3 linked regions of the Coturnix japonica genome follow. The protein of the gene in region 1 interacts with the protein of each later gene in a biochemical or structural test. Links are inferred from orthologs where the notes say so. Each region holds a gene or a part of one and is shown in the gene's direction. Other genes may lie near its edges. The genes, in order: PRKCA, SLC9A3R2 and MGMT.

Evidence for each region.
Region 2: the proteins of PRKCA (region 1) and SLC9A3R2 form a complex in vitro, tested with the Homo sapiens proteins (2 studies listed by BioGRID and IntAct, with this or other methods). The link is inferred for Coturnix japonica from reciprocal best matches to the Homo sapiens genes PRKCA and NHERF2.
Region 3: of the proteins of PRKCA (region 1) and MGMT, one has a biochemical effect on the other in vitro, tested with the Homo sapiens proteins (2 studies listed by BioGRID). The link is inferred for Coturnix japonica from reciprocal best matches to the Homo sapiens genes PRKCA and MGMT.

Annotation. Positions count from the first base shown.
Region 1 is NC_029533.1:6,864,293-6,867,942, forward strand, and holds part of PRKCA (protein kinase C alpha type), read left to right. Parts: intron 1-631; coding exon 632-805; intron 806-1,638; coding exon 1,639-1,730; intron 1,731-3,048; coding exon 3,049-3,111; intron 3,112-3,374; coding exon 3,375-3,513; intron 3,514-3,650. UniProt on the Homo sapiens protein: Calcium-activated, phospholipid- and diacylglycerol (DAG)-dependent serine/threonine-protein kinase that is involved in positive and negative regulation of cell proliferation, apoptosis, differentiation, migration and adhesion, tumorigenesis, cardiac hypertrophy, angiogenesis, platelet function and inflammation, by directly phosphorylating targets such as RAF1, BCL2, CSPG4, TNNT2/CTNT, or activating signaling cascade involving MAPK1/3 (ERK1/2) and RAP1GAP.
Region 2 is NC_029529.1:6,206,056-6,209,705, forward strand, and holds part of SLC9A3R2 (Na(+)/H(+) exchange regulatory cofactor NHE-RF2), read left to right. Parts: intron 1-3,248; coding exon 3,249-3,425; intron 3,426-3,650.
Region 3 is NC_029521.1:30,303,724-30,307,373, forward strand, and holds part of MGMT (methylated-DNA--protein-cysteine methyltransferase), read left to right. Parts: intron 1-3,373; coding exon 3,374-3,531; intron 3,532-3,650. UniProt on the Homo sapiens protein: Involved in the cellular defense against the biological effects of O6-methylguanine (O6-MeG) and O4-methylthymine (O4-MeT) in DNA. Repairs the methylated nucleobase in DNA by stoichiometrically transferring the methyl group to a cysteine residue in the enzyme.

The DNA of each region.
Region 1 (3,650 bases):
TAAAAGGAGCGTTTTTAATGCAGAGTAGGGCGATTCCTTAGGGACTAGCAGGCTTCAGTCATGGTTGGGGACTGCTTTTTCAAGAGCAAATTAGAGAGAAAAGCCTCACACTATTGGTCAGGGTGTAAGAAACGAACTTTTAAATCCTCACTTTTAAGCAGTTCCAAGGAAATCAGCTCTCCCTTTCTGGCTTTGCTCCCTAGGTTACTCTGCCACTTCTGGAAGTCACCAACTTTGGTAGGGCTGAATATCTGGGAAGTATCACAGATAGTATATATGTTTGCAGTGTGTTAGTGGAAAGAAAGGACTGCTATTTTTCTGGCTAGTTTAACACCCATTTATATGGTGATGTGCCCTTTACTGAAGAAGTCCCCTGGGACTTAACATCTTATCAGCCCTGGGGCAATGTGTCTGCAATTCACATTGGGGTTTTGGCTCTGGCTTTGTCTGAAATGACTGATACAGCTCATTGCAGTGGGTGAGTAATGATGTTATTTTTGGTGTTTTGATCAAGTTGGTCTGTACCTATGAAAGGGCAAGCTGGATTGCCTCTATACAGCTCACTAGGCATGTGAGTCACCTTCTCCATTGGCAGGTAGGAAGATTTTCACTCCTGTTTCTTTTTGTGCAGGTGATGCTGGCGGACAGGAAGAATACAGAGGAGCTCTATGCAATCAAAATACTGAAAAAAGATGTGGTGATACAGGATGATGATGTTGAGTGCACGATGGTTGAAAAGCGAGTGCTAGCACTGCAGGATAAACCACCATTCCTAACACAGCTTCACTCTTGTTTCCAAACAGTTGTACGTGAGCTCTCTTCCTTGCAGCAGTGGTGTTTTTCATAATATGTGATGCTGAATTATGTCAGTTCAATAAACTTTATTATCATCCAATCGTAGTATATCACAGCATCTACACACAGGAAACAGTGAAGAATGAGATACCCAGGAACTTGGAAAAGGTCAATTTTAGTCCTCTGAAAAATGGTGGACAGACATATATTGCTTAAGTCTCATTTAAGGTCACTGTGGGAAAATACTACATAAATACTCAGATATGTTGTAGTCATGTTTCACTTAAGATACCTGGATGCGGGCTTTAAAATTCTTCACTTATCAAGATAAATCACCCTGCAAAATACTTTATTGCAGTCTTTCTTTATCTCGAATAAGGTGAGAAAGGAATTTAGTATCACTGGTGGAAATGCGAGATACTTTTGTAAACCCTGTGACATCTTTTCTTGTCTATTTTTAATTATCAGAAGTATATATATTGATGCATTTATCTAAATTTATTAGGAAGCATCAGAAATAGGCTGAAGACAAAGATTTTTAACCACATTTAATGCTTTTTGGACATTTATTTTTAGCAGACAAAACTATGTGTGAGTAATTATGGGAACAATGTAGGCAACGAATACATAAACGTGAGTCACTAACATTGGCAAAACTAGACAGCTCCCATCAGTCATTTACTCCTGCAGGCTTTACAGAACATGCCACTTCCATTTCCTGATAGATCAGTTTTGCCAGAATGTACAACCAGTCCCAATAACCTTAAATGCTTTATTCCTGATCAGTGCTTACCTGTTATTGTGCCCAATGTGTTTATGTGCATGTTTAATACTTTATCCTAGGACCGCCTGTATTTTGTTATGGAGTATGTGAATGGTGGGGATCTCATGTACCACATTCAGCAAGTAGGAAAATTTAAGGAGCCACAAGCAGTGTGAGTGTTCATTTTTATATATTTAAATCATGTAATGATCTTTTTACGCTGTAACAGAGTTAGATATCTCTTATCAGCCTATCCTTTAAGTCTGAATTAATATTATAGGGAAAGAGATATTATAGGGAAAGAAACACACTCGACATTGCAGTATGGTTTACAGAAGATATTTCAGTGTGCAGCTTATGAGAAGTTCTGTGATGCTGCATTTTATAGAAGTTTTATCTGTGAGAAGTCAGGAAATGATGAGGAGTTGTTTATGCACAAAGTCCCTTTCGGGTCATCGTACATCTGGTGTATCAGTGAGTAGCTGATAATGATATGTAGCATATTTCAAGATGAGCAGACAGAACATCAGTGCCATTTTAGTCGTGTTTATAACATCTCATCATCATTTATTAGTGTTTCATGAATCATTTACCAATGAAACTTTCAAATCAAGCGTAACCAATTCTGTTTAAGAAATCCACGGAAATAATTTCTTATTTAGATTTAAGTAATCAGGGCTTGGTTAAATGAAAGGCCTTCCAGATAGAAACCCTGAGATATAAAACAAAACGTCGGCAACTCCCTAAAGAAAAACACAGTGGTGTCAGAACATCTTTGGCTCCCAGCTCATGTACCATGCCCAACACCTGTTGAAAACGATAGAGCTTTATGACAACTTGTGGCTGTGGAGCATATTCCAGCACACGTCTGCAAACAGCTCTGGTTTCAGAGCTAACCTTTCATTTTCTTTATGCTAGTCTAAAAAATAGTCTTGTCTTTAGATAATCCTCTTCCCTATAATTTCTGCAGATCCACAGCAACCGGCATCAAACATCCATCAATACTGTATATTCTTTTACTATGTTCAACAATTCTATTTCATATTGCCATCATTTTAATTATGTAATTAATCCATTAAGAGCCTGTATAAAGGAATGCTCTTTCTGCAAATGATTTAATGCCATATGAATTGCAGTGTAAATTGAGCTGCATCCTGAACTCAGCATTGGTATGTGATTAGAGATAATGACCTGTGTCTGATTGGTGCAGTAGGAGTGCTGTGCTCCAGCTGCACCTTCTTCTCTCTGTTATAGAAACAAATTTTCAATTAAAAAATGAAAATCTGCCCTATTTTGTCATGAAATACTTGAAGTTAAATTTATCCATTGAAGTCAATTGGGAGTAAGGTGCCTGTTACATCCTCTGCCTATAATATATGTTTTTTATACTTTAATGTTATCACTATTTACCACGGGGCATTTCCAAAGTATTTTGTCAGGGGGAAATGATGAGGTAATAAGAAATCCTTGGGCTTTTTCTCTTCACACAGGTTCTATGCAGCTGAGATCTCAGTTGGGTTATTCTTCCTCCATAATAGAGGGATTGTTTATCGGTGAGTACAGTCTGTTGTAAGTAATTTTTGCACTATTTTTAAACCCCAAAATGGTCAATTTCTTTGACTAATCAGTGAATTCCTAGAAATTTTCTAGAAATAACCACAGAAGTGCCATTCTGGTGTTGTTTCACTGTAAACCAACCCCTCAGCCTCAGCTTTACATGAGCTTTTCTGTGCTCTACCCAGTTCAACTGAAAACTTGAACATGTAAATGAAAATGATCCTAAATGTTAACATTGAATTACTCTGATTCTTTACAGAGATCTGAAATTGGATAATGTGATGTTGGATTCAGAAGGACACATTAAGATTGCTGACTTTGGAATGTGCAAAGAACATATGTTAGATGGAGTAACAACCAGGACCTTCTGTGGCACCCCAGACTACATTGCACCAGAGGTAAATATTCACCATTTCAAGCATCTTACTTCTCAATTATCAGCTGTCAGAACATGCATTTCACACATGCTCATAGCTGTAGCTCTGGATGCTCTGTGGATGGTACTGTTTGTATTTCTACAGGTATGTTGAATACC
Region 2 (3,650 bases), on another chromosome or scaffold:
GTGAGCAAAGTGAGCATTTTCTGACCAAAACTGCCTGCAAAAAGGAGAGGGTAAACACCATGGGGGCTGGCTTGAAAGAAAGTATGTGAGCAATGCAAATTAGGCAGGAGTGATCCTGCCTGTGTTTTCTCCAACTCCACTGAAGGAGAGGTGGAAAAGCTGGATGTGTCATGGGGAAATCTGCACTTGGAGGGTATCCAGCTCCTGTAGCAGTGGATGGTTTGACTGCATCAGATAAAAAGAGCTTGTGGTCATGAGGCTGGGGGCTTGTGCTAAGGCCCCCTGGCACTGAGGAGCTCCATCATTTTTGTCCCTTTCCAGGGGAGTGATACAAGTGTGCTCCATCCTCATTCTGGATCCATCATCCATGCTGGATCCAATGCTGTGTTTCTGGGATAACCCCTATAGTGTGGATTCTTAAGGGGTTTTAGCCTTTAGTGTTCACCTACAAAGTGTGGGTGGCTGGAGGGTGATGCTAAACCAGTATTCAATTCTGAGCATCCCGGCAGGGTGAGCCCCATTGCATGAAGACATGATGAGTTCTGGGAGTTCCGTGGGGGCAGATGGGCTTTGTTGCAGGGTGGGATGCTTCTCCCACAGCCCCCGGTCCAAACTTGGGGATGGTGGTGTTGGAAACCTCAGGTGTTGCAATGAGATCATGAGAACTGGCAACGTCTAAACAGATTTATTTATTTATTTAATTTTCCCCTTTTTAATTGGAAGTGTTTCATTGTTACTTAATGTCTTGTTTGTGCCTTTTTAATGCACGGCTTCCTTCTGGTATGGTGGAGTTGTGCCTGGAGCTGTGGCACTGCAGCTTTGTGTTGGTGCAGCTCTTATCTGCACAGACACATCTGTACCAGTGGGTGTGTGCACAGAGCAGCAATATAGGGCAAATGTGACATCCATGGCTTTTTAATCCCATGTATGAGATCAGTGGGTGCTGTAGCATCTGGATGCCCCCAAAGAAGATTGCTGATTGCGTGCGAAGAGAGAAATACAAGGTCATTTTTTGTTGGCTTTGCAGCGTGTGAGTGCAGCTATGGGAAGGAATGGAGTGTCTGTGGGTCTTTGAGGTCAGGTGGGATCTGGAGGAGTGTGGTTGGGGTGCCCCAAAGGCAGAACACCCCTGGGAGCTCAGGAAACTTCTTCCTAGCACATGACAGGGAAATGTTGGCACAGGTTGTGAAGTGAATGAATAGCAGAGCTGGCAGGAGGAATAGAGTGCATCGGTGCAGAGGGCTTCATCATGTGCTTGAGGCTGAGCAGAGGGTTTGCTCAGTCCCAGAGGAGTTTGTTGGAGCCCTATGTGTTCCAGAAGCTGAAGACAGCCGCTGCTGGGAGCACTGGGAGCAGTGGCAGCACTCAGACAGGTCTTTCTGGGGAGCTCTGGAGCTGATGCTGGGGCTGAAACGAGAACGATTTTGAATCATCTCAGTGGTGGATCTTGGCTTCAGGATGTGGTGGTGGGAGCAGAGCATACCCACACAGGGCACAGTGCTGGGTACCCCACAAAGCTGCTGCAGAAGTCCTCTCCCAAGCAGTTTCTGTGCAGTTTATTTTAGGGATGATGCTGGTAGAGCCTTAAGTCCTGCTTGTTGGTACTGTGCTCATTTGGTGACTGGTGCTTTGGAACCACTGCTGGAGCCGTGAATGCTTAAAACTGGAGTAAAATGGCCCATAAAGGTTATTTCTAAGCCCCACTAGGTGATTCTGGATGTGTTCCTTTCTGCAGCCCCTGTTCCCAGCACTTACAGCCCTGTGCATCCCTTGAGGTCGCACCGAGCCCGCTCCAGCATTGAATCATTTCCTGTTTTCCTCGGCTGTCGCAGAGCTGGAAGTGTTTGCAGATGGGGTGAACCCACAGCGCGGGGGCATGGGAACGCAGGGCTGAGCCTGCAGTGAGCCCCGAGCACTGCACACTGTGTGTGCTGTATGGGGGCTTTTCCTCTGGGGAAAATGAGCATGGAGGGGTCACTGCTGAGTGGATTTATAGGGGTAAAGGGAGCCCTGTGTGTTTCTTGGGTAGAAGTACCCAAAGGAGATCCCCATCCACTTCTACCAGTTGCCTTTAGCTGGGGGATGGGGATTCATTACCAGCATTTTTTTTTGTTTTGGTTGGGAACATTGGGGAAATTCTCACATGTTTTTATTATTTTAAATGTAAGGTTGTAAGAGATCGTCCTACTGATAGATAGATACCTGAGGTCTGATAGCAGGTGGGAGCAGTGTTGCTTTCAATGCAGATTCAAAACTCAGCTGCAGGAAATGTTTTCCTTAAACCATAGACCCCCTAAAAAAGCCCCGAAGGCACTTCTGTTTCTTAGCAGCTCCTGCCCAGGACATGGCTGTGCCACTGTGCCTGGTGCACGAGAACAGCAGTGGGATAAAACCTGCTGTGTGCTGCTTCCTGTTAGCCCCAAGGAACCATAAAACATTTTGCACGTGATAGAGGTGAAGCACCAAAGCCCTCACGTGCTCTGCTAATATTTGCAGCGAGCTCAGCCTGGACGTGCTGTGGGCACCTTGGGCAGCACCATGTGCAGGGTTGATGCTTCCTCTCTGCAAAGACTTCTGTAGGGCTTTCCCACTCTGCCCAGATCAATGTTTCCATAGGCTCACTGCTAAGTGACTGCAGAGCAGCTGTGCCACATGGCTCCAGGTGGGCACACAGATGATCCCTCTCTGCCCTGTTGGCTCAGTACTCCCAGTTCTGCATGATCATTTTTGAGCTGGTTGCAGGACAGGGCTGCCCATCCCCTGGTGCCATCCCCAGAGTGGCCAAAGATGCAGCTCCAGATCTGGGCATCACCCAGCTTGCTCAGAACATCCCTGCAGGGAGGGATGAGTAGCAAGGTGAGGATGAAGCCTTGAGCCGTGTTGGAGTCACTGGGAGCCAGGCACGGTGCTAACATCAATCAGTGCTGGGAGTTAAGGTGGTGGTGGTGGGGGGGGGGGTGGGTGGGTCTGGGCTGCTGTTGGCTGAGGAAATGCATTTTTTGTTGTTGTTGTTTCAATTTCTCTGGAGTGGTTTTGGACAATCAGTTTTCTAAAATAAACTCAATGAGAGGAAATCCATTTGTTAACCTGTCCCCATTGAGCTGGAAGGAGGGGATGGTGTGCAGATATGTTGCTTCCTTCTCAACTTAATTCTGATTCAGAACAAAACCAAGCCGATAAATCAAACACAATATCTTATCCTCTCCCCCCGCGTAACCACCCCCCATCATCTTTCTTTTTTAAATCAGGATTTAAATGGACAGAAAGAGCTGTGTCCGCGCCTCTGCCACCTGAAGAAAGGTCCCAATGGTTATGGCTTCAACCTGCACAGTGAGAAGTCCCGCCCAGGGCAGTTCATCCGCTCGGTTGACCCTGACTCACCAGCATCCAGAGCAGGTCTGCGGCCCCAGGACCGCCTGGTGGAGGTAACAGCACATGCAGCATGGAGCTTTGGGGCTCTTTTGTTGCATTTTTGGGTCCTACCAACATGAATCCTCCTGGAAATGAGGAGCTGGAGTGCAGAAGGGATGTGATGCTCAGCTGGGAAGCGTGATGCTGAATCCAGGCCCAGTCCTGTGCCCTTTTCCATCAGATCCATCATACTGCTGGGCAGGAGTTTGGAGCCAGGGGAAACGCTTGGCAGAGAGATC
Region 3 (3,650 bases), on another chromosome or scaffold:
TATTTCTTTGCAAACTCCTAAGGCATGGAAGGGAATGGCTGGGACAGGAACCTCACAGGGCAGATCTCAGCTGCGTGAAAACAACCAACTTCAAAAAGCAACAATTACTCAGTGACCAGGTAAAAATAAACCAGGAATGGGGCCATAGTGAGACTCCAGGTAGCACCCAGCAGCAGCCAATCATGATTCATGGGTGGAATGGGGTGTTGAGAAGGAAACCGAATGCTGAGCAGAGGGAGAACACTTTCCCGTAACCTCTTTAGCCTTGGTTTTTGAAATGTACATGTGGTTTAGTCGGACCAAAGTGTGGCTTTGAAGCCTCAGAAAAGGCTTTTAGAGGCAGCTGGTGTTTTAAGTTGAATTTTTAATGACGAGGCAGTTTGCAGAAGGAGTTCTGCCATGCAACTTCAGGAGGAGGAGGAGGAGCAGGAGGGGAGTAGGGCTGCTAGGAGGTGCCTTTGCATTAATGATGTTCTGTCTTTTTCTTTGTTAGTGCTGTCCAGTCTCAGGAGTGGTTGTTAGTGTTTCTAACCAAGCAAAATAAGATAAAGTGTTTTCACACTTCTGCCACAGAGAACTTCTCAGCATGTATGTTGGTGAATCAACTTTGTATCCTACAGGACAGGCAATACTTGGACACCATACTTGCATACTTGGAGAGGAGAGCTGCTCCAGCCCTCTGAGCATCTTAGCACCCACCTCTGGACCCACTTCATGTCCTTCCTGTGCTGGGGGCCCCAGGCCTGGAAGCAGCACTGCAGATGGGGCATCACAAGAGCTTTGGTTTTCATGACTTGTGGCAGTAAGCAGAAATCAGAGGTGTGGAGATGGCAAAATGATGGGATAATGGCAGTGATGGGGGCTGATGGCTCCTGCTTGAAGCAGGGCATGGGCAGGCCTTGCAGGCTGCAGTGCTGCAGGCAAGCAGGCACAGCTCGTGGGCTGCTGCTGCAGAGCCATGAGGGGATGTATTCCTTTGCTTTTACAGCAGTATTATAGCCCAAATCATTTCCAGGCTCCCGAGTATGTGAAGCAAGATGATGTGAAAACCATAAGGTTGCTGTAGTGCTGAGTGCTTTCTATGCTCTTCTGGATAAATGGAGCAGAAAAGTCTCCCAACTTCTCTTGGAGATTTCAGAGGCATTATTATATTCTGTAGTTATGATATTGTCGTAGCTCTAACAATCCACAGTAAAACTGAGCCCTATTCTGCTGAGCATCGTGCGTGTGCGGAATCACTGATGATCCTTGGTGCTGGGAGCTTGGCTTGAGGTCTGTGTCATGCACATATTCATCTGGGAATGTTTATACACAGATTGTCCAGGCTGGATGTGGCTCTGGGCAGCCTGGGCTGCTGGTTGGTGACCCTGCACACAGCAGGGGGTTGGAGCTGGATGAGCACTGTGGGCCTTTGCAGCCCAGGCTGTTCTATGGTTCTGTGATTCTCACACCTGTGTTTTTGTTTGTTTGTTTTCCTAGAAAAGAGATTACTAAGAAGCAAAGAAACATAAAGTAGAGATCGGTTTCATAAAGCAAATTGATAATGGAAGGGGATGGAGGACTGCACTTAATTTCAAGCAAACTAGATCCAAAGCTGGTTCTTCCTTTCCCTTTTTCCTCCACTCCAAGCCATCAACTTGTCATATTCTTCTACTGCTGGAGAATTTTAATTGTCCGCCTCCGTGTCCCCCTTCTTCTCTGCCACTTTCTAATCAGTAATTACGTGGCCTTCAGTGGTTAACAATTAATCAGAAAACGAATTGGGGCTGGGGGAAAATTGCAGGGCCGTTTGATCACACAGCAGACAAGCGAGAGTTCTGCTTCCGAGAGTAACCCCGGGACAGCTCCTGCCTGCACATCATTTGTGCTATCCGGAGGCAGGGCCGGGTGGCTGCCTGATTACACGGCTGTCCTGGTGTGCTCGGCTCCGTCGGCTTTTGTGGATGAAGCATCTGAAGGCATTGGGTCTTTTTGTAAAGGTGCCTTGTGGCAAAAGCAGGCCTGGTGTCTTTTATGCCATTACTGGTACACGATGCAGTTCATTTTCTCAGGCTTTCTGCTAGGAGGTAACTGAGAAAGGATTTCCTCTCCATTGTGATACATCTCGAGCATAGCAGTGAGTTGATTTTACATTTTCCCCACAACTCTATGGCAGAATTGCTGTGGTTTTCTCTTGCTGTCCCTCATGTATTCTGCTATTTCTGCAGTTTTCTCTCATTTCTACCCCTTTGTGACACATCCAACCAATTGCAGCACACTGTTTTGTTGAGTTTCACCAGCAGAACTTGTTTGGGGCTCCAGATGCATTTCCAGCTGGGGGAAAAGAAAAGCTGCAGTATCAGGATGCATCAGGATGGTGTAGCTGAGGTTTGTCAGATCCAGGTACAAGGCTGCTGGCAGGGCTTGCTGGTCTGGCAGCTGCTCTTGGTGTTGTCTCCATATTGCTCTCCAGGTGGTTTCATGCTCCTGGGCTGTTTGGTTACAGATGTGCTGAATACAGTCCATGTGGTTCTGAGTGGTCTCATAGAGAGGCAGGAGAGCACCGTGATCTCCTCCCTGCCACTGCTGTGCCTAACCCAGGGCTTACAGCTCAGAACAGGGCTGGAATGTCTGCAGATGTGGTGCTCATGTTCTCCATGCTCTCATACAGGCATTGCACTTCTGTAGAAAAAGAAGAAAAAAGCAGCTGGAGAAAAAGGACATTTTCATTTGCGGGTGCTTTCTGTTCGTTTGCTTTGCTCTTCAGCATCCTGAAAGCATGAGCTGCCATTGAAAATCAAATGAGTTCTCAATTGCTTCCTTCCAATTCAATAAGAGGAGGAAAGCAGAAACCTGCCAACGTCGCTGGAAGGAGTGGCGGAAGAGGAAAGCGCTGGCTCTGCAGAAAGCTGCTTCCTCTTCTTCCTTCCCCAGGAGGGCTCTGGAGGCTGTGCTGTGCCCGTGGGTGCATGGAGGAACCTCTCTCCAACCCCACGGAGACCCAGGATTTGTCTTCCACCAGGCTGGGGTGGTTTCCTTCTATTGCTCCCTGAGATTTCCCAGTTAAGTGTGGTCTTTCCTTCTCACCCATTCTTTATTTTCTTACAGCAGGTCTGAACAACTTCACATCACCATGGCAGATCAAGAGGTGATGTGGTAACGATGGTAATGGGAGGACGGTTGGACTAGATGATCTTGTAGGTTCTTTCCAACCTTGTGACTCTATGATTCTGTGCTGTGGGTGAAGTTGTGTTACTGTTCTGATGACTCTCCTTGCTTTCAACAGAGAAAAAGAAAGCTTTGGAGTCTTTGCCTCGGGATCAGATGTTTTTGAGATCATTAAGAGTATGAATGTTTGCTTTCGTCATTGACAGCCTGACATCTCTGCCCACAGGACGGAGGCTCCGGTGTGCTGTGAGCTGCGTGGCAATGTGACCTCCATGCCGGAGCCGCTGCAGCAGTGTGCAGCCTGGCTGAGCGCCTACTTCTGTGAGCCCAGCAGGACAAAGCAGCTGCCCCTGCCACCCTTCCACCACCCCATGCTGCTGCAAGGTCAGTGCCTGGCTCGTGGTAGCTGCAGAATCACAGAGGGTTCGTTTGGGAACACACACACAGCCTATGGGCTGGCTGCCCCCAGCAATGCATCCATAGGTATGGACACCTCCAGGGAT